4 linked regions of the Arabidopsis thaliana genome follow. The protein of the gene in region 1 interacts with the protein of each later gene in a pairwise test. Each region holds a gene or a part of one and is shown on either strand. Other genes may lie near its edges.

Region 1 (3,686 bases):
TTTCTATCGTCATTGATTGATGAGTTTTGATTGAAACTGTATTATAGGGATTATGTCGAAAGAGCAGAAGATTTATGATATATGTTCATTCAAAAGGGATGGTTGTTGATGATGAGTATGTGGTAATTGGATCTGCAAACATAAACCAAAGATCAATGGAGGGGACAAGAGATACAGAGATTGCAATGGGAGCTTACCAGCCTCAACATACATGGGCACGACGACAGTCAGGTCCTCGGGGTCAGGTAATAGCACACAAAGATAGTACACACATGGTTTCATAGTCCTAGTCGTATCAATAATACTTGGTACATAATCTGCAGATCTACGGATATAGAATGTCGCTTTGGGCAGAACACATGGCACTGCTAGATGATTGCTTTGTGGAGCCAGAGAGTCTAGGGTGTGTAAGGAAAGTGAGAACAGTGGCGGAGGAGAACTGGGAACAGTTTAGGAGTGAGGAAGTGTCGGAGATGAGAGGACATCTGATGAAATATCCGGTGGAAGTTGATCGGAAAGGCAAAGTCCGACCACTTCCAGGAAGTGAGGAGTTCCCTGATGTCGGAGGAAACGTTGTTGGATCCTTTCTAGCCATACAGGAGAATCTCACTATCTAATCATAAGCAGAGTCGCATTTATTAAGAAGACCTTATATGTGTAAACAAACAACAATTGATCAGACTTTGTAAATAAACAAAGTTTGATGTTTCTCCTCAAGTTTGAATAACAAGTAAAAAGAAGCTACTTAATCCTAATTCTATTTAGAATAAGAAATCATGTACATGAAAAAGCTTTGGCCTGGCTATAAAATCCGAAATCCGAAAACCGATCCGGAACCGAACTTGAACCGAATAGTTACAAAATCCGAATGGATAATGAATTCTCCTATCCGAATTACTCGAACCGAATCCGATCCGAACCGAAATCCGAGAGGATATCCGAAAACTGAAAAATATATATATCCAAAAATATTATTTATATTTAGTTGTAATTTTATAATAAATAACAAAATATCCTAAATAATAAAGAAATTGGAAATCTTTTAGTTACATTTGTTAATAGTATACATACTTTTGCAAAATTTAACCAAATTTTAGTAAAGATTAAACCAATTTTTATTTAAGTTGAACAATTTTTAGCTCTTTAAAAACCGGTCCGAATCCGACACTTATCCGAACAAAAACCAAACCAAAGATTAGTAAAATCCGAACGGATAATAAATTTTCTATCCAAATTATCCGAATCCGAAAATATCCGATCCGAATTCGATCCGAAAATTCATAAAATCCGTACGGATAATAAGTTCTCCTATCCTAATGATCCGAATCCGAATATATCCGATTCGAAATCCGAATGTCCAAGCCTAGCCTGGCTACTAAACTTTGTCTATATTTAACGGCAAAGATCTCTAGCAGTAGTAGTATCATTCAAAAAATGAGAAGACTGTTACAGAGACTAAAGAGAGTGTGTACCATGCGTATCAGATTCAAACTAATAATGTTAGCAACCCCTGAAGAAGATAAGACTATATGCTTATTGTAGCCTTTATTCTCTGTTGAATCCTAGCAATGAACATTATAGGCAGAGCAAAACGACTAATATGAAATGGAGAACACTAGACAAGACCAACCGATGATACTTAGTCTAAAGTCAATACCTTGTCCCTATCAAGCCCACCAAAACTCTTAGCAGACAACATTCGAACAACCTTAATTTGTTGTTGGGCTTTGTTTAATTAGATTGTTTGTTAAATATAAAAGAGAGTGAAGAATGTTCAGCGTTAAAGGAAAAAAAGTCTCGCCGCTCACTAACCCTAAAAAAAGTAACTCTCTCACTCACTCTTCTTCATCATACCGAAAAAAATCCAATGGCTTCTTTGGAAAATCCAGCAATCGATTCTTCAAGCGAATTTGAGAGTTCTTCTGAAGAGATCTCTTCTTCTAAAGAAAGCAAACCCAAAGAAGCTCCCGTCACTGTTCCGTCAACAAAAACCCTAAACTCTCCTTCCGCCGCCGTGGCAGTTTCTGATGACTCAGAGTCAGAGAAGCAGTCATTCGTCTTAACCAGGCGGAAGAAGAAAGAAGGTGCTGCTGAATCACCGGCAGTGAAGTCAGGGAAGAAAGAAGGTGCTGCTGAATCACCGGCAGTGAAGTCAGGGAATAACGAAGGTGCTACTGAATCACCGGCGGTGAAGTCAGGGAAGAAGCGAGCTAGCGAAGGAACCACGTCAAGGGACATGCATGTCAAAAGAATTAAGAAAGAGGGCGATAACAAAAAGGGGCATGCTCAGAGAGTATGGAGTGAAGAAGACGAGATCTCTCTCCTGCAAGCAATGATCGATTTCAAAGCTGAGACAGGTACAAGTCCTTGGGATCATAAGGATAGGTTTTTTGATATCGCCAAGAAATCTATAAGCTTTGATGTTAGTAAAGTCCAGTTCTTTGACAAGATTAGAAGCTTTAAGAGAAAGTATTTTGGTGACCGGAAGGTGAGAAGTGTTGAATCGGATCATGATAAGAAGTGTTTGGGTTTGGCTGTTTCTTTTTGGGGATCTGATGGTGTGAGCCTTGAAACTCCTGTGAAGAAGAAAGTGAAAGATGAATCTGTTCTTGTTAAGGCTAATAGCAAGGAGAAGAACGTGAAACCTTTGGTTAAAGAAGATGAGCAAGTCGTGATTCTTGGAGAAGATTCGGAGTGGTTTGAGGAGTCTTTTCTTGTTCCGGTTATCGCTAGTCTCGGTTTGGATGAGTATTCTGTGAAGAAGAAGTGGAGCAAGGTGTCCGTGGAGACTAAGAAGAGGATTCAAGAGAAGATGAAGCTTGTGGATGCTAAGAAATGTGAGTTGTTGTTGGCGAACATGGATGTTTTGAAGGAGGTGACTTCAGTGCTTACTCAAACCAACTAAGAAGAAGAAGAGGAAGCTATTGGATTGTATATGTTTATCCGTTTAATCTCGGGTTTAATGAAGATGTAATGCCTTATTTTGTTATCTATCTTAGGCTTCATCTTTCTATCTACTCTAATGAACTTTTAGGACTTTGGATTCTCGTGTGAGAATTAGCTTTGTCTAACAAGCCTTTTGGTCGATGGTTGTAATGAATTAGCTAAGTTGTCTAACTAGCCTTTTGGTCTATGGTTATAATGAACTTTTAAGACTTTGTAAATGTGCTTCTTATATGAATGTCTCTCTACTCGTAACCAGAGTTATTACAAAACAAAGAAACACACAACAGAATGTGGGAGATTGTTAGCTATCATACCAATTGAATTTTTACATGTTGTGGTTACTACTAACTACTGTCCCAATTTCATATCACTTGTTGAGCTCTTGCTCTGCTTACACTCTCCTTTAGCTCAGCAACTACATGACTCATCCTCGGTCTATTCTTAGAACTAGAAGATGCACAAGCCATTGCTACTTCAGTGATCTTCCATGCCGAACCAGCATCAAACCTCTCCCCTAGCTTTGGATCCACAATGCCTCTGATATCTCCTGTCGACAGCATTAAAGTCGACTCAGTTATGTGTATGTTCTCTGCTGTTGTTCTTGAACGTGCAATCACCGGTTGGCCTGTGACAACCTCTAAAAGAACAACCCCGAAGCTCTAAACATCACTTTTCTCGCTTAATTCTTGCGGTCAAATGGTACCTTCATTTTGTAAAACAATGTCTACAGCAGCAAAAGA
Region 2 (7,285 bases), on another chromosome or scaffold:
TGTTATTAAAATAGAAGCATTAGTTTAACCTCAGATACAGAGTTTTGTCATCTAATTAGGAAATGTCTAACAACCGATCTATATTTTAACACAATTCCTTTTCTTAGAAAGCTATACACCTTAGTTTAACCTAAAACAGAGTTTTGTCATCTAATAAGAAATGTCTACCACCAAGAGTTGGATTCATGTGCTTCCTCCTTATTTGTCTACCCTAATTTCTTTTTATTCTTTAGCATTCCACATTCTCAAGTAAAGTCCAACAAAAGATGGCAAAAAGCTGTTTTATTTCACATGTTTAAATACCATATCTTCTATACTTTCTATGCAAGACATCTGTATCTCATAGGGATCGACCTAAAAACCGAACCAAACTGAATCAAAGATTTATCGATCCGAACCGAACTTAAGTTTTATATAAATAACCGGACCTTGATTAACTAACCGAAATTCATTCTGTTTGTCAAAGTATAGGCTGAGCGAGTCCACATTATACTAAACAAGAAGAGTAGCCAAAACATATAGACTTGATGATTGCAAATTCACAACTTTACTTTCATTTATTCCTTGAGGTAATAACAGTGGTTGTGGTAAACCACATAGTCGAGTAACATCACAAAAGGAATATTCAATCAAAGTACAAAAAAAAAAAACATTTAGACAAAACACACAAACTTCTGTTTCCTACGCTTCATTCCAGAGTGTGCTACTCCATGTTGACTGGTGGAGTTGCCTAAATAAAGACGATTAGTGGAATCGATCAGCAATATCGAAAAGATCTATTAGTGTCTATTGTTGACGACCGGTGTGGCTAAAGAGAAATCATTTGTTACCTTGAATAAAAGATCATGAGCAATAGTGTCCCATGGTAATGAAATGGACATTAAGCAGCATTTAAGAGGGAACATCTCGTCTTCATCATAAGAGGCAGTAGCAGCTGCTATTGCATGTTTAGCTGCGACAGATGCAACAGAGGCTGCTTTACGGAAAATGGATCCGAGATCGATGCTCTTCTTTGAAGACATAGGTGAAACAGGCCCTAAAACTACTTGGCTCTGATCTGAGAAAAGCAATTCTATACAATCATCCTTTAAACCATACTACGTCTTCAATATACATTTCAACAAGTCTCCTACTCTTAAATTTTGGCGATTGTACTTCTTAAATATTGCTGCTATTAAGACAATCCGACCTAAGACAATTGTTGGCTAGGGCATTCTCTATGTTTTTACTTTTTTTTTTTTATCTTCCATGGAATATTACTAACTGCACTGTAACACTCGAGAAAATAGGGAAACAAAACACTAACAGGAAAATAAAGAGCCATTCAAGCATAAGAAATGAAAAGTACCTACAACGCCAGAAACAGCTACTTCAACTTCTCCACGTCCTCCTGGGCCTCTCATATAAAGTCTGTCTGCTTTTCCTGTAATATGACCGAGAGATAGGAGACTTCCAAACCGATTCCTCCCCCCTGTAATAAAAGTTATTAGATGAAAAAACATAAAGCGTGAAAATATTAATTAGCCCAAATCAACGAAAGCGATCTCAGCCTATATAGACAAGGAAACAAGCAATAGGTTCCTTTAGGTCTTTTAGCTCTTAATATCTCAAAATTCCATGTCTACAAAAGTTAATTTTGTAGTCCAGCCATCTTGAGGTTGTCAGGTTGGGTACCGTTTCATATTCACACCTCCTTGATCTCTAAACGAACCATACTACTTCCAAAAATTTCGACTTTACTTTTTGAGTAAATGAGTAAAGGCATGAATATTAAGACTGCATGTTTCCCTGACATGAATAACCACTAATGAATTCTGTGTGCTATAGTGGAGTCAAGCTCGAGACCAAGTTCCGTACTATCATGGACCCTTAATATATACTTTCCATCAAATATTTTGGGAGAAATATGAAAGACCGAGATCGACAATGATAGTGCTAAGTACTAGAAGACTAAGGCAAGTAAACCATAACTACAAAAGTTGCTGGAGAATTGAACTAGGTTCTAAAACTGAATAAGAAATAGAAAAGAAACTGTAAAGTGACCTTCATAGGCTTCTCGAACCATCTGATAGCTGACAAACCCAGAAAACAGAGTAACCTGCAACCAAAAGCACCAGCATGTCAATTTCTTTCTCATTAGAAAGTCACGACCATGTAATGTGTCCATAGGCCTTTTGAAAACCATTGAGCTTGAAGTTAAATCATCTTTACAAAAATCACAAACAATACTTTAGTTAATTTGTTTAAGATCGACCGTTGCAAGCATCAGTGAAACTACCGACATATTCCTCTGTATGACATGGTTACAAGATATTTTCAAGCATTAACCACAAATTAAGGAATCTATTTGAAACTCATAGCAGGTGGCAAATGAATAATTGATAGATGATTGGCAGCAACTGCTGAAAATAGTGAAGCATAGGTGGGAAAAAACTAGACCTTAGGATCTTTCACAGTTCTAGGGTCAGCATTCGTATTAGAATCACTCGAATCTTTAACAGTTGCACTTGGAAAGGCTGCCCCATCGTGAGAATTAAGTAGTACGCAATAGCAATGATCTTTATCTGTCAGAACCTGAAAACATCAATGACAAAGCCAATGAACAAGGTTGGAAAAAAACTATGGTCAGTATAACAACTTCCATGCATGAAACCTAACCATACGACTTAAGTTATTTATAGGAATCATAAAGCCAAACTCCTCTACGCCTAAGCAAAACTAAAGAAGAAGACAGGCCAATCCTCTGAAGAAGATAATAAATAGCAGGTACTAAACTCAAATAAGGAGAGGATGTTAAAGCACCGCAAGAGGTAGTTGAAATAATATTATCTGGATCCTCCAGTCCTGTACCAAAAGCCAACAAACGTATCCTACAAAAGATTTTACTATCCAGTTAAGGAGAAACTAAGAATGCACGTAACTTCACCCTAGTGACAAAGGGGAGTTCATGCATATTTCCTCAACTAAAAACTATTCTTCCAGAGCCGATTTCATTATGAACAAAATGTCATAATTCCTTTGACATTCATGTTTAGAGTTTCTTTGAACGAAATGACTACATAATATAACAGTTGGAAGGACAATACAACAAAAAGGGAGAAGAAAATTTGTTACCACAGCATCAAAGGTTGAGTCAAAATCATCTACGGCAAAACAAATTTCTGGGTAGGCAGGTGTTGTTTCCACTTCCTAGGTAAACAACAATGGAAACATCAAACACAAATTCCAAAAGGACAAACATTGGTATGAGAAAAGCGACTATACTTGCCTTCTTTGAGTCCAGATGAAAATTAACACGACTAGGTGATGCATATACAGTTTTTACAACCTGCACAATATGAATGTCAGATTAGAGAACATGATTACTATTGACTTACAGAAAATGAAACCAAAGAAATATCCATATGCTTGGTCCAAGACTCATGTGAAAAGTCCTCTCCTTATGAAAACAAAACTGAATTCATATTCCGTTTCCTTACTCTTTTCTTAATAGGTTGATGATTAGAACAAAGCTGCACTGATATATTTTGAACAGCAGAGTATATAACTACTCTTTGGCTTCAGTTTCTTTTTCATATGAAAAGATTATAGAAGAGTTGAAAAGTCAAGAGTAATATTATCCAAAACTCTTAGGATCTCTAACCTTGTATATAGGAGATAGTTTTGTGTCTTTACTTCCTTGGTACGTCTTAAGGGCCTCATTACTAAAAACACAAGTAGTTCAAACAAAGTTACCATGATGCAGTCAAATGGAAAGACAAAAAGTCATATGATAAGTAGTATATAGACCAGAGAACATGTCATAAAAATGACTCAAGGCCTAATCACTGAAACTAAGAAGATGGTATCTGAGATTCCAACCTAATAAATAGCTAGACTGAAGTAATGATTGATGCAATAAGATGAGTTTGAACCCCAAACAGGAAAGAAGGATAGTAATATTAGCAATAACAGAACAAGAATTGACAACTGCTGTAAATTAGACAACATGAAATTAGTACAGGATGCCGCTAATCACAATCTGACTGAAACGGTTACCTGCAAATCGCAACAGTAACAGTGAACGATGTGTGGGCAATCATGTTCAAATAAAATGATTTCCTCCAATCAACTTCAGCCAGACTTTCACCAAGCAGCTCATCTAACTGCTTTACAAGTAAGAAAGAAATGCATTATCATATGTTTGTAGACAATACATACAAGGTGCAACACAACAAATAAATGGTTACTCGAAGTGTCTCTGTCCCATGGTCTAAATAAGATATGATGGATCGTGAAAAGCTTTAGCATGTAGGCCAGAAAAGACAATCCTTTACAATAAGCACGTAGTACTCTAGCTTACTTTAATCCCTCACCCGAAAAGAAGTAAAATTAATATTTCCATCACCTTCAGGGGAGTTGCAATCTAAGACCTTGTTAATATACAATTTTTACATCGCAGTTGAAATGTTACATGTCAAAACCAAACCTCATGTAGTGAGATCTAACTAGGTATCTGTATTATTTCGTACAGTTTTTTACCTTAGGTGCCCACCTGCGTACAAAGTAAGGAGCTGGTGCATCCTCATTTTCAGTCAAACCATATGACTTACAGCTCTGGCAAAAGCAACAAAACACTCAACAACATTAACAAGAAGGATGATAACAAAGTTCTAAGTTTTCGACTGAGAGAAAAAGGTCCAAGCTTTACATACCAATTTCCTGACAAAAAACAGAAGATCATCGTCTTGTCGCCTCCTCGACTCCATGCAACGAACAAAGTACACATCAAACACACCATGCCAGAAATTAGAGTCCATTTCTACATCAGACGCATCTTGCTCATCAAGAGACGTCTTTCCTAATGACTTTGAGTGCTTCTTCACCATACTCAGAATCTCATGTCTGAAAAAACATGAAGCAGACAACAAAATCAATTTAAGCAAGATCGAATCAAATAAATGCTGAATTACTACGAAATCTTAGTATTCGAATTAAGCAATTTCATGGTGGAATAACAAAATTCATCAAATAGAAAACTATCTCATTTCAATTTGAGCAGTGACTGGAACTAAGCACGAGATCAAACATAGAACAACAAAAGAATCTGACTTGTTTACCTAGAAGGAGTTACTTCGCCATCGTTGAGCATTTTTTCTACCCTCCGATGATTCTGCTAAAAACGTTGATTACGATCTCGTGATCGAATAGGGTTTTTCTCTCTCTATCTTTGACTCGTTCTTCAATTTTAATTTTTGCTGAATTCGATGCGAGTGAGAGATAGAAGAGAGCACAAATCTTCGATCTGATTTGCTTTAGCGTTGGCAAAATCTTGGCGTGTTGCGTCAATCGGAGCGGGGAAACCTCAATAACTGCCGATTTGCTACAGTGACAATTAAATCTTTTTTCTCTTTCATGGTTGTTAGCGGATAAATCCGTTTGTGGAGTAGATTATTTTTTATTTACCATTCATGAATTATAGTCCGTCTTAATATGCCCGAAAAAATTAAAAATATTTTACTACATACGGCTCTTACATAAAGATAAATTTGATGCGGATAAATCCGCCCCAAGAAATAGAGTTGCCTAGTCCGCTCCGCCGGCAACATCCATTCGAATACATTATATGGTTTGACTGGAAATGGTAGCATAGATGCAGAGATTATCTCAAGAATCCTCTATAAATAAACAATAATGAATATGTGGGTACATAACACTGCTAAGACTCTACTACGCTATTCAGCTCCAACTTACCAATAAGAATATGGAAGGCTGAAGATCTAATGTCCCTAACAACTCTAACAAGCTAATAGATCGATCCGATTAACTAGAATTGCTGGCTTAAACAAACCGGAGGGCCTCGAACAAAGCGGTTAAAGATGTGAAAGTAAACCGCAAGACAAACAGTGATTATCACTGAAGATTTGGCACCAACGTATCCAACTACTTGACGTCCTCTCTCTGTAACTTCTTCATGAATCACATCCAAACTCCTCTTAAAACTTTGTGACGTTTTCAAGATTACAAACTCAAGAATTGATCTCATCGTCTCTAGCGTCACTCTTCCCGTAACATCAAACATGAACTTCCTATTACTCGGCACTGCTAAAGTAGTCGAAAGCGCCTCTGCCCATCCGTTTTCTCGATTCTCCGACTTCCTCAAGGAGGAATCGGTTTTCTCTCCTGAAGATGTGAAGACATCATGAGAAGTTCTCATGAACGTCTCAAGAGCTCCATTACAAACCGAAACAAGAACATCTCGAGCACTATCTCGATGTTTCGGATTCGTCAAACCAGCGAATATCTGATCATAAGTATTAACACCAACCGTTTTATCGATATACACCGATACAGCTGAGCTAGTGAATCTCTCAATACAATCTGCTAAAAGCTCTCTACACTTATCATCACTAAGCAAATTCATCCATCTAGGTTTTAAAGAATCATCACTACCAATCTCAATCTCACCAGAGTAAAATCCAAGAACAAGATTCTTAGCAAAACTACCAACAACAACAGAAACAAAACCAGCTCCTTCCTCTGAGAAAACTCTATCAACTACACTCAAATTCGATTCTTTTTCGACGTTTGGATCGGAATTATACCCACGGAAAACACCAATCGCTACAGCTTCAGAAACCCTAGCTAGAGAATCAGTGAACTCTTTTGATTTGGTGATTTTCGATAGCTGTTTCAAGCTATTAGGGATTTCGTGGGAATTTGATTCGAGAAACTCTTTCAAATCTCGAGAAACGATACTTATCGTCTCCGCGGAATCGATGACCATTTCGGCGAATGAAACAATGCCTGAGAAGAGTTTCATAAGACGCTTCGTCTTCTTAGCGATGTATTGAGAATTGTAAACCCTGTAAACTCCGTAACCCGAAACACCGAAAACCGCTAATAGAATCAGCCATTTCCTTCTTCTCTGAGGTGAAATTGAACCTATGTCTCTCAATCGAACAAGGTCCATGAAAACTACAGCGAATTGAAGAGGGAGGGAGATCTAGGGATTGTAAAATTGGGGATGGGATTGTGAAATTGTTGAGTAGAAGAAGTGATGATTTTGAGTTACCAGATAGATTTGGATAGAGACATGAATGAAGGTAGAACCAAGAAGTGAGGAACTCAAGAGGCGAAAGAGAAACAAAGAACAAGTTGAAGAAGAAGAAGACAACAACAGACGAATCTTTTCGATGTTCGGTTGGTTTGATTTTAAAGTGACGATTGTTTTGGAATCTTTCCGGTTATGGCAAAACCAATTTTGCTGACCAAATATTACTAGGATATTTTTCCGTATTACCAT
Region 3 (4,152 bases), on another chromosome or scaffold:
AATAATCAATTAAGAGAAACACCAGAAACAATTCAAAATTGGACAGAAATCCCTAAATTCATCGCCAAAACCTCATGGATTTCGTTGAGTGGTGGTAATTACTAGCTAGTCAACCTAGGCACCTACTTCGATTACAACTGAACAACGATGGAGAGAAGAAGCAGAGAGTTCATATGCAACTTGGGAACTAATAACAGATGAAAAATGTTGTAAAGATTTAGAGAGTATCCATGGAAAGCAACTTACAAAGCTAAAGCGTGATCTCACAGACGCAGACTTCAATAAAAAAAAAAAAGCAGGAGCAGCAGAATCGGAATTTATGGCTGTAACCAGTAAAGGACTATCCGGTTAAACGAGAAAACCGAACCGGTGATTCGGACAAAATTAGTCAATTGTCATTCATCAAGTTATAAAGCCAGCTGACTTTATTAAACGACGTCGCTTCATTTTAACCAAATAAAAGCATCTCCATATTTACCAATTGAAATAATACAAAATCAAAAGTTTGGGATACATCTGAAGGGTTTTTACCTTTTAAATTTTAACAACCTCTATGAAAATATAAACATTTGAAAAAAATGTGAAAGTGTTTGGGATACATTTGACTCTCAAAACTTGACACAGACTCTACACTCTCAAAACTTGATACACTCACAAAATTTGACACACAAACTCAAGTGAATCTTCACACGACCATAGCCTATATACTTCTACACAAAACAGAACAACACTTGCATGTACTTGCTATTTATGCTTCCTTGAACTCTTGCATCTCGACATGGACTTCATCCTTTTAAACTCTGAAATCGAATTTAAATTCATTTAGAACAGAACACAAACCAATCCATTTGAACACTAACACAAACCAATTAGAACAGAGCACAACCAAACCAATTTAGAACAGAACACAAACAACTTAAGATTCATAACCTAACTGAACAAAAACAAGTGAAGAAGCGTTAACCGAAACAAAAAAGACTAACTTTCAAGACATAAAAGACACCATTCAAGCATTTGACAATATGTCAGTGATAAGTTTGTTCTTTAAAGCCATTTCAAGATCACTAAGCGGCGCTGTTTTTCGAAGTAGAGTCTCCAACAACGTCTTCTTGCTAAGCTTCTCGTTCAATTCAAATTCCTTCTGCTTAATCTCCCACATGCTCTTAATCACTGACAGAGTCCTTTTAGCTTTCGCGGCCTTTGCCGCCTTAACACCTGATGGACGAGACATTGCTTCATCTGAATGGCTAACTGCCTGGGAGCTTGATGACTGTGCAGAAGCTTGAGATCCATCGCTTTCTTCATCTACAAACCCACCAGTATCCTGCAAGGTATATGTAAAAGTATTTAGAAGATGACACAAAGTAACATAAAGACAGAATAACAAACAAGATCTGTCATTCTACAGTTGGTTTCAATCGCGTGTTTACAAGTTTGATCCTCAATAGAAAAAGCTAGACAAAAATCAACTTGAAAGAGTTTGAACTGACATGAACAAAAATTGCATTAGAGATTGGTGTTACCATTTGATTGCAGAAACAACTAGAGTGAGAAAAGTATTGTTCCAAGCTCAAGAACTTAAAAAAGAATGTATAGTCTGCAATTCTGCATCCACCTGAAAATAACAGCTCTCAAGATTTCAGTAAGAGTACAAAATAAACACTTAATAGTAATGTATCACATAAGGACCATAAAACCGAAAATAATGGCATATGACCAATTGTTCATCAAAAGCTACAAAAGAAATGCATAAACCAATCTAACAATACTACAGTAACTCAATATTTCCTAATCACTATTAAAAAAACAGAGGCTTCTCCACGAGAATTGCAGTTAGCTCTCTCTATTGAACAGGATCTGTAGTCAAATTTATTGTCTGTTCCAAGTGTGATGAACTCACAATAATCAATAGTTCAAAACAGCTCAATTAAGAAAAACACCAGAAACAAGCCAAAATTGAACAGAAAACCCTAATCACTAGTTAGTCAACCTAGTCACCTACTTCGAGCACATCTCGACACACAACTGAACAACGCTGGAGAGAAGAAGCAGAGAGTTCATATACTTAGGAACTAATAACAGATGAAGAATGTTGTAAAGATTTAGAGAGTATCAATGGAAAGCAACTTACAAAGCTAAAGCACGCAGACTTCAATAAAAAAAAGCAGGAGCACCAGAATCAGAATTTATGGCTGTAACTACTAACTAGTAACTAGTAAATGTCTATCCGGTTTAACATAAAACCGAACCGGTGATTGGAACGTCAAAAATTAGTCACTCACCAAGTCAGAGACCACGTCGTTTCATTTTAGTTAAATGATTCTCGCAACGTCCGAATTTTTACTTTGAAGTTTGAAGCTATTGCTAGTAGCCTAGTAGTATTGAAAATGCCAGTGAATTGAGAAGGATTAAATTAAGTACAACCACAAAGGAAACAAAAACACAGATCGTATGAGTCTCACTTCACTAAAAAGCTAAAGAGAGATGAAGGATTTGCACAGTGTAAGAGACGAAAAAGTTGTTTTGGTTGTGTAAAATAAAAAACAGCACACAAACTTTTAATAAGTTACAAATGCTTGGGAATTATGATACAGTCGTCATCTTCTGAACATCCCATTGAAGACAATTGCGTCAACGTCAGTATTCTCAGAGATCTGTAGTGACGACACAGCTTGAGTATCAAACAAATCAGCTGATATTCCCATGTTGTTGTTGTTGTTATCCCATCCCCTTGCGAAAGGCTCATATGAGACTGACGACCAGTTACTGTCTCTTGTTCTGTTGTTATCATGAACCGCGTAGCTTGAGCACCGTTGGTGAGGAAAGAATCTGTTTATTCCACCACTAAAAAGATTGATTTTGGTAGTATAGTCCCATGGCTTGAAACCTGTTTCTTGGTTTAGCGTGTTTCGGTATGAGTCATCACAATCTTCGCCAAGTAAGACGTGCAGAGCAACAGCCTCTGCTATGGCGGCACCTTCCTCATCCAATCGCCTTTGTTCCTCAAGTTTTCTAAGCTTCTTCTTCTCTAGCTCAGCCCTGATGGCTGCAGAAGTAGCGATGGATTTCTCAATACGTCTCTTTTTCCTCTCTGCTTGTTTGATACGCTCCAGTTCCTCTCTCTCCTGCTTCTTCTTTGCAGCATATGCTGAATCTTCTTCAACTGCTGCGTCTAGCTGTCCTTCCTTCTTCATTTGCTTCTTCTTCTCTAGCTCAGCGCGGATCGCTGCAGTAGTAGCAATAGCTTTCTCAAGACGTCTCTTTTTCTTCTCAGCAATGGCAGCACCTTCCTCAGCCAATCTCTTTTGTTCCTCAAGTTTTCTAAGCTTCTTCTTCTCTAGCTCAGCCATGATGGCTGCAGAAGTAGCGATGGATTTCTCCAGCCGATTCTTTTTATTCTCTGCTTGTTTGATACGCTCCAGTTCGTCTCTCTCCTGCTTCTTCTTTGCAGCATCTGCTGAATCTTCTTCATCTGCTGCCTCTAGCTGTCCTTCCTTCTTCATTTGCTTCTTCTTCTCTAGCTCAGCCCGAATTGCTGCAGAAGTAGCAATAGCTTTCTCAAGACGTCTATTTTTCTTCTCAGCTTGTTTAATTGGGTCCACTACACCTTTTACTTTTTTCTTCCTGGCTTTTCTAACAATTGGCTGAGCTTGTTTGCACATCGAGCTACTGCTATCCATGATTGCTACAAGTCTTTGTTTGCCTTGCTTTTGTTAACTGGCTTCTTCTTTTAGTTGGTTGTTTCCTTTTACTTTGATTCTACCAAACTCACTACACCAAGGCGCGATGATCTCAATGACTACTACACCCACTCAGGTATGTAGGTATACCTCATTTTACGGACAATACAATCCCAAACAGAAACAACAGGAGATAAGAGAAGGGAGACGTTGTAGGAGTTTGCAGAGTTATCCTTTGAAAGCATTCGTCCTAATTTCCAACATCCCTTAACTTCTCCCATTTTCTACAAAAGAAAACAATACTAGATTAGACTTGCGTTAACAGGGATCTCAAAAATAATATACCAAACCAAACCAACCCATCTGCTTTCTTAACCTAATGAAAGCTGCACGACCACACAGTTCTATTTTCTATATGGCTATATGCAAAAACATTAAACAAGAAAGCTTTTTCACAACCAGATGTTACCCA
Region 4 (3,209 bases), on another chromosome or scaffold:
CGAGTATGCAGATATGAGGAGGTCAAAGAGCGAGAATATGGGCACTAGAGAGGTTGCAAAAGCAGAGGATGTTGACAAAGAAGCTGAGCAATTCATCAAGTTTGAGCATACGAAGTTCAGTAAGTGGATGACTAAGAGCGCCTAGTCTATGTGGACGAAGAATAAAAAGTAATAAATGACAAACCATAATATATAGATTGTATTGTATGATTTGTGTTTCTTCTTCTGGTTTTTATTTTTGTTATGTAACAAAATGGGTGCTGTTTCCTTTGTCTAGAAAGGTGCATGGAAATAAAGACTACAAATTAGTATATTTCATGAACTCTTGGATCTTCTAGTTCCACATAATTGTTTTTTCCGATAACATGCAAAATCTGGTTTGAATTGGAATTGTACTAATTATGCTACAAGTTATGGTCTTAGTTTCACATTTAAATGCAAGACTGTCACACTAATCATGAATACATGAGATAAAATGGAAGATATAAGAATACAATTCTTTCTAAAATGTTAAAATAAAAGAGAGCTTAAAGAGTTGAAAATATGACATTTCCATTATTAGAGAAGAAAAACAAACCCCTTTTTCAACTCAAGAAAAATGGGGAAAACATTCACACACATCAATTGTATAGTCCTTTATTATGAAAAAACCCCTTCTCCATACCAAGAAAAAAGAAGGGGAAAAACATAAACACCAAAAAGGGTAAAACAGAGGATAGAGAATGTGGTATTTTCCTATAGCAAAGCAAAACAAAAGGAAAGTGTAAAACAAGATTCCACCACTAGAGAATGGACCTGCAAAGAGGGCATGTGGTGTGGTTATTACCAAACCAGTTGTCTAGACAAGCTCTGTGGAAGAAATGCTTGCAAGAAACCAACTCACTCACTTCCTCTTCCTCTTTAAACCCACAAAGGCACACACAACACTCCACACCTTTCTCTTCTTCTTCCTCTTCTATGTTCTCACATAGAGACTTGAACTGTGTTATCGAGATTCTTCTAGTAACAAAATCATCTTCAGGCTCGTCGTCTATCTCCATGGAAGATTCAGTCTCGGATGCAACAATTTGAAAAACAGACCTCACCATGTTCTTCAACAGAGTGATTGAAACAACCGTGTTCATCACCAGAAGTGGTAGTACTCCTTCTGACGCTGTTGGAAAATGCGAGAGACCCATTTTTTTATAACTAAGATTATATTCACAGAGATAGAAACTGAGAGTCTTTGAAAGTTTTGAGACACGAAAAATCCTTAGAAGAGAAGAAATAGAGAGGAAGTATAGCCGCCACTCATGTTCCGGTGGGCGATTGGGTTTATTAAGCAGCGGTGGTCTAAACACGTGTCACCAAGAGAGAGGTTATCGTTAGAGACTCATCTCCCACAATTTGATTGTGACTCAATAATAGGTTGGTTCGTCTTTTATAACCAGAAAATTTAAAATAAAACAAAAACTCTGTTTTTTTTTTTTTTCTGTGGTCTGTTTTGTTGTTAGACTTCTGACACGTATTGTGATCAGCCAACCAAGTTGTGCGTTGTGGAGAGCTCCTTGTTCTCCCGAGGTCGATTCTTGATCGACACGTGGAAGACTCAACGTTTCACGGTTGCATGCCACGTCACTAGACCAGACATGCTGACACATGAAAAATTGGACAAATCTTTGTCAAAGTTCACACACCTGTTCTGTTTCAGCTCCTCACAATCTTTTTGTGATTAAAATCATTCACAGTCCTGTTTCTATTATTCAATGGAATCTGATCGTTGTGCGGATCAAAGAGATTGGTATCTCTATAACCTATAAGATCTATATGTAAATGTTATATAGCACCTTAAAATATCCTGGCTACAACTAGTATTGGTAAGGTACTAATGAGAAGTTGTTGAATTGGATGGGCTTTCAACTTGTAACGATCTGAAATAATCCTTTTCCGCGGCTTCCACTCTGTTCTCGAACATTTTCCATTCCATTTGACATCTATCCCTCACCTGCAACACACAAAAGTTTAAGACAGATTGGTCCATTTGGTTGCTTTCTTGTCAAGGTATCTAGAAAATCTAAGATAGCCCTAGGTTTTGTTATAGGGAAGAGAACACATGAAAGCTCTCCAAAACAAGAGGAAAATTTGTATTGAGACAAAAACAAGTTTTGCTTACCCCTTGCCATGGTGCTTTCCCGTTATCTGCTTTCCCCTATTGGCAAGAAAAGGAGAAAGAATGAGAAATTTTAATTGGTTTTGGAAAGGAGAAAGTGAAGAAGTTAAGTAACCTGGTTGCCAAGGGAAGGGATAAATTGATGAACGATCCACTGTGAGTCTACTATTCCTATCTTCTCAAATGCAGGCTCCTTCATTTTCACATATAAAAATGAAAGCCTCTTCATTAATTGATCAAACATGCAAGAACATTTGTACAAACACTAAGCAACAACATAGTGAACTTTTGTGTACCTCAACACATCTTCTCAGTGCAAAGTCAAGACCCCAACCGTGAACCAAATCATTCTGTTTTTGGTTCATATACAATTAGGTGCAAGAAGGAGACATTATATGAAGATATGAAGGAGCCAATAGATAATAAAGTAAGTGTAACCTGGATCATATGCCACACGCAGCGCCATGCATCTCTTGAGAATACAGGAGCCATTATCTCCACGAATCTGTTTTTTTATTAAAGACATAACGAAGTTACTAATGGTTTAAATATGTCTGAAACTTGAGTTTGATAGAGACGTTTTTTGAAACATACGCAGCACATGGAGGCCGGGGAGGATTAGAGCACCAGTCGAGTTTCTCATCTGTCTCCCTGCTAAGGTTCAAGCCATATTCAGAACCATTTTGTAATGTAACAAAAATAATCTAGAGAGGCCGTTATATATACTTGTGGACTTCACTATGTTCTCTTCTTTTGGTGATCTGCCAATTAAACCCAGTCTCTGGGTCCAAACCAGGCTGCGAAATCTCAAGGTCGTGCTTCTTCACTATGTGTATGTATCTACAACAACAAACATAGTTAGAAATTTTTAAATGGAAGTGAGAAGAGTAAGAGAAACTCACTCTTCTGCATTAAAGTGATCAACTCCAAGATCCTCATCCCATATGAATATATAATCGTATCGTGCTACAATGTCCGGGTGCAAGAATCTCTTTGCATACCACCTTATGTTCACAATATGAGAGAGTCAAGAAACCAGATAAAAAAAAGTGGTTAAAGC

Evidence for each region.
Region 2: the proteins of AT4G00238 (region 1) and CW7 interact in a two-hybrid assay, tested with the Arabidopsis thaliana proteins (one large-scale study listed by BioGRID).
Region 3: the proteins of AT4G00238 (region 1) and AT5G52547 interact in a two-hybrid assay, tested with the Arabidopsis thaliana proteins (one large-scale study listed by BioGRID).
Region 4: the proteins of AT4G00238 (region 1) and AT1G24580 interact in a two-hybrid assay, tested with the Arabidopsis thaliana proteins (one large-scale study listed by BioGRID).

The regions. Positions count from the first base shown.
Region 1 is NC_003075.7:103,311-106,996, reverse strand, and holds AT4G00238 (DNA-binding storekeeper protein-related transcriptional regulator), read left to right. Parts: upstream 1-1,775; 5' UTR 1,776-1,867; coding exon 1,868-2,905; 3' UTR 2,906-3,174; downstream 3,175-3,686. Other genes in the region: PLDBETA2 (phospholipase D beta 2), read left to right, coding at 48-245, 324-617. UniProt on the Arabidopsis thaliana protein: Transcription repressor that binds DNA in a sequence-specific manner, 5'-GCCT-3', to regulate the expression of PGR. Acts as a modulatory component for the glucose-triggered developmental leaf growth process.
Region 2 is NC_003070.9:21,859,435-21,866,719, reverse strand, and holds CW7 (CW7), read right to left. Parts: upstream 5,439-7,285; 5' UTR 5,132-5,438; coding exon 5,100-5,131; intron 4,885-5,099; coding exon 4,695-4,884; intron 4,597-4,694; coding exon 4,522-4,596; intron 4,146-4,521; coding exon 4,039-4,145; intron 3,705-4,038; coding exon 3,644-3,704; intron 3,329-3,643; coding exon 3,269-3,328; coding exon of another isoform or gene 3,265-3,268; intron 3,190-3,264; coding exon 3,115-3,189; intron 2,575-3,114; coding exon 2,440-2,574; intron 2,099-2,439; coding exon 2,044-2,098; intron 1,472-2,043; coding exon 1,349-1,471; coding exon of another isoform or gene 1,302-1,348; exon of another isoform or gene 1,058-1,301; coding exon 780-1,057; 3' UTR 731-779; coding exon of another isoform or gene 704-730; 3' UTR 510-703; downstream 1-509. Other genes in the region: CF9 (Carbohydrate-binding protein), read right to left, coding at 5,807-6,952.
Region 3 is NC_003076.8:21,325,317-21,329,468, forward strand, and holds AT5G52547 (uncharacterized protein), read right to left. Parts: upstream 2,183-4,152; 5' UTR 2,132-2,182; intron 2,122-2,131; exon of another isoform or gene 1,991-2,121; intron 1,735-1,990; exon of another isoform or gene 1,616-1,734; 5' UTR 1,527-1,615; coding exon 1,524-1,526; intron 1,325-1,523; coding exon 1,007-1,324; 3' UTR 547-1,006; downstream 1-546. Other genes in the region: AT5G52550 (stress response NST1-like protein), read right to left, coding at 2,598-3,680.
Region 4 is NC_003070.9:8,708,147-8,711,355, reverse strand, and holds AT1G24580 (RING/U-box superfamily protein), read right to left. Parts: upstream 1,416-3,209; 5' UTR 1,179-1,415; coding exon 783-1,178; 3' UTR 532-782; downstream 1-531. Other genes in the region: AT1G24575 (DEAD-box ATP-dependent RNA helicase-like protein), read left to right, coding at 1-145; AT1G24570 (transmembrane protein, putative (DUF707)), read right to left, coding at 1,865-1,984, 2,153-2,188, 2,265-2,342, 2,446-2,499, 2,588-2,654, 2,744-2,800, 2,876-2,989, 3,052-3,153.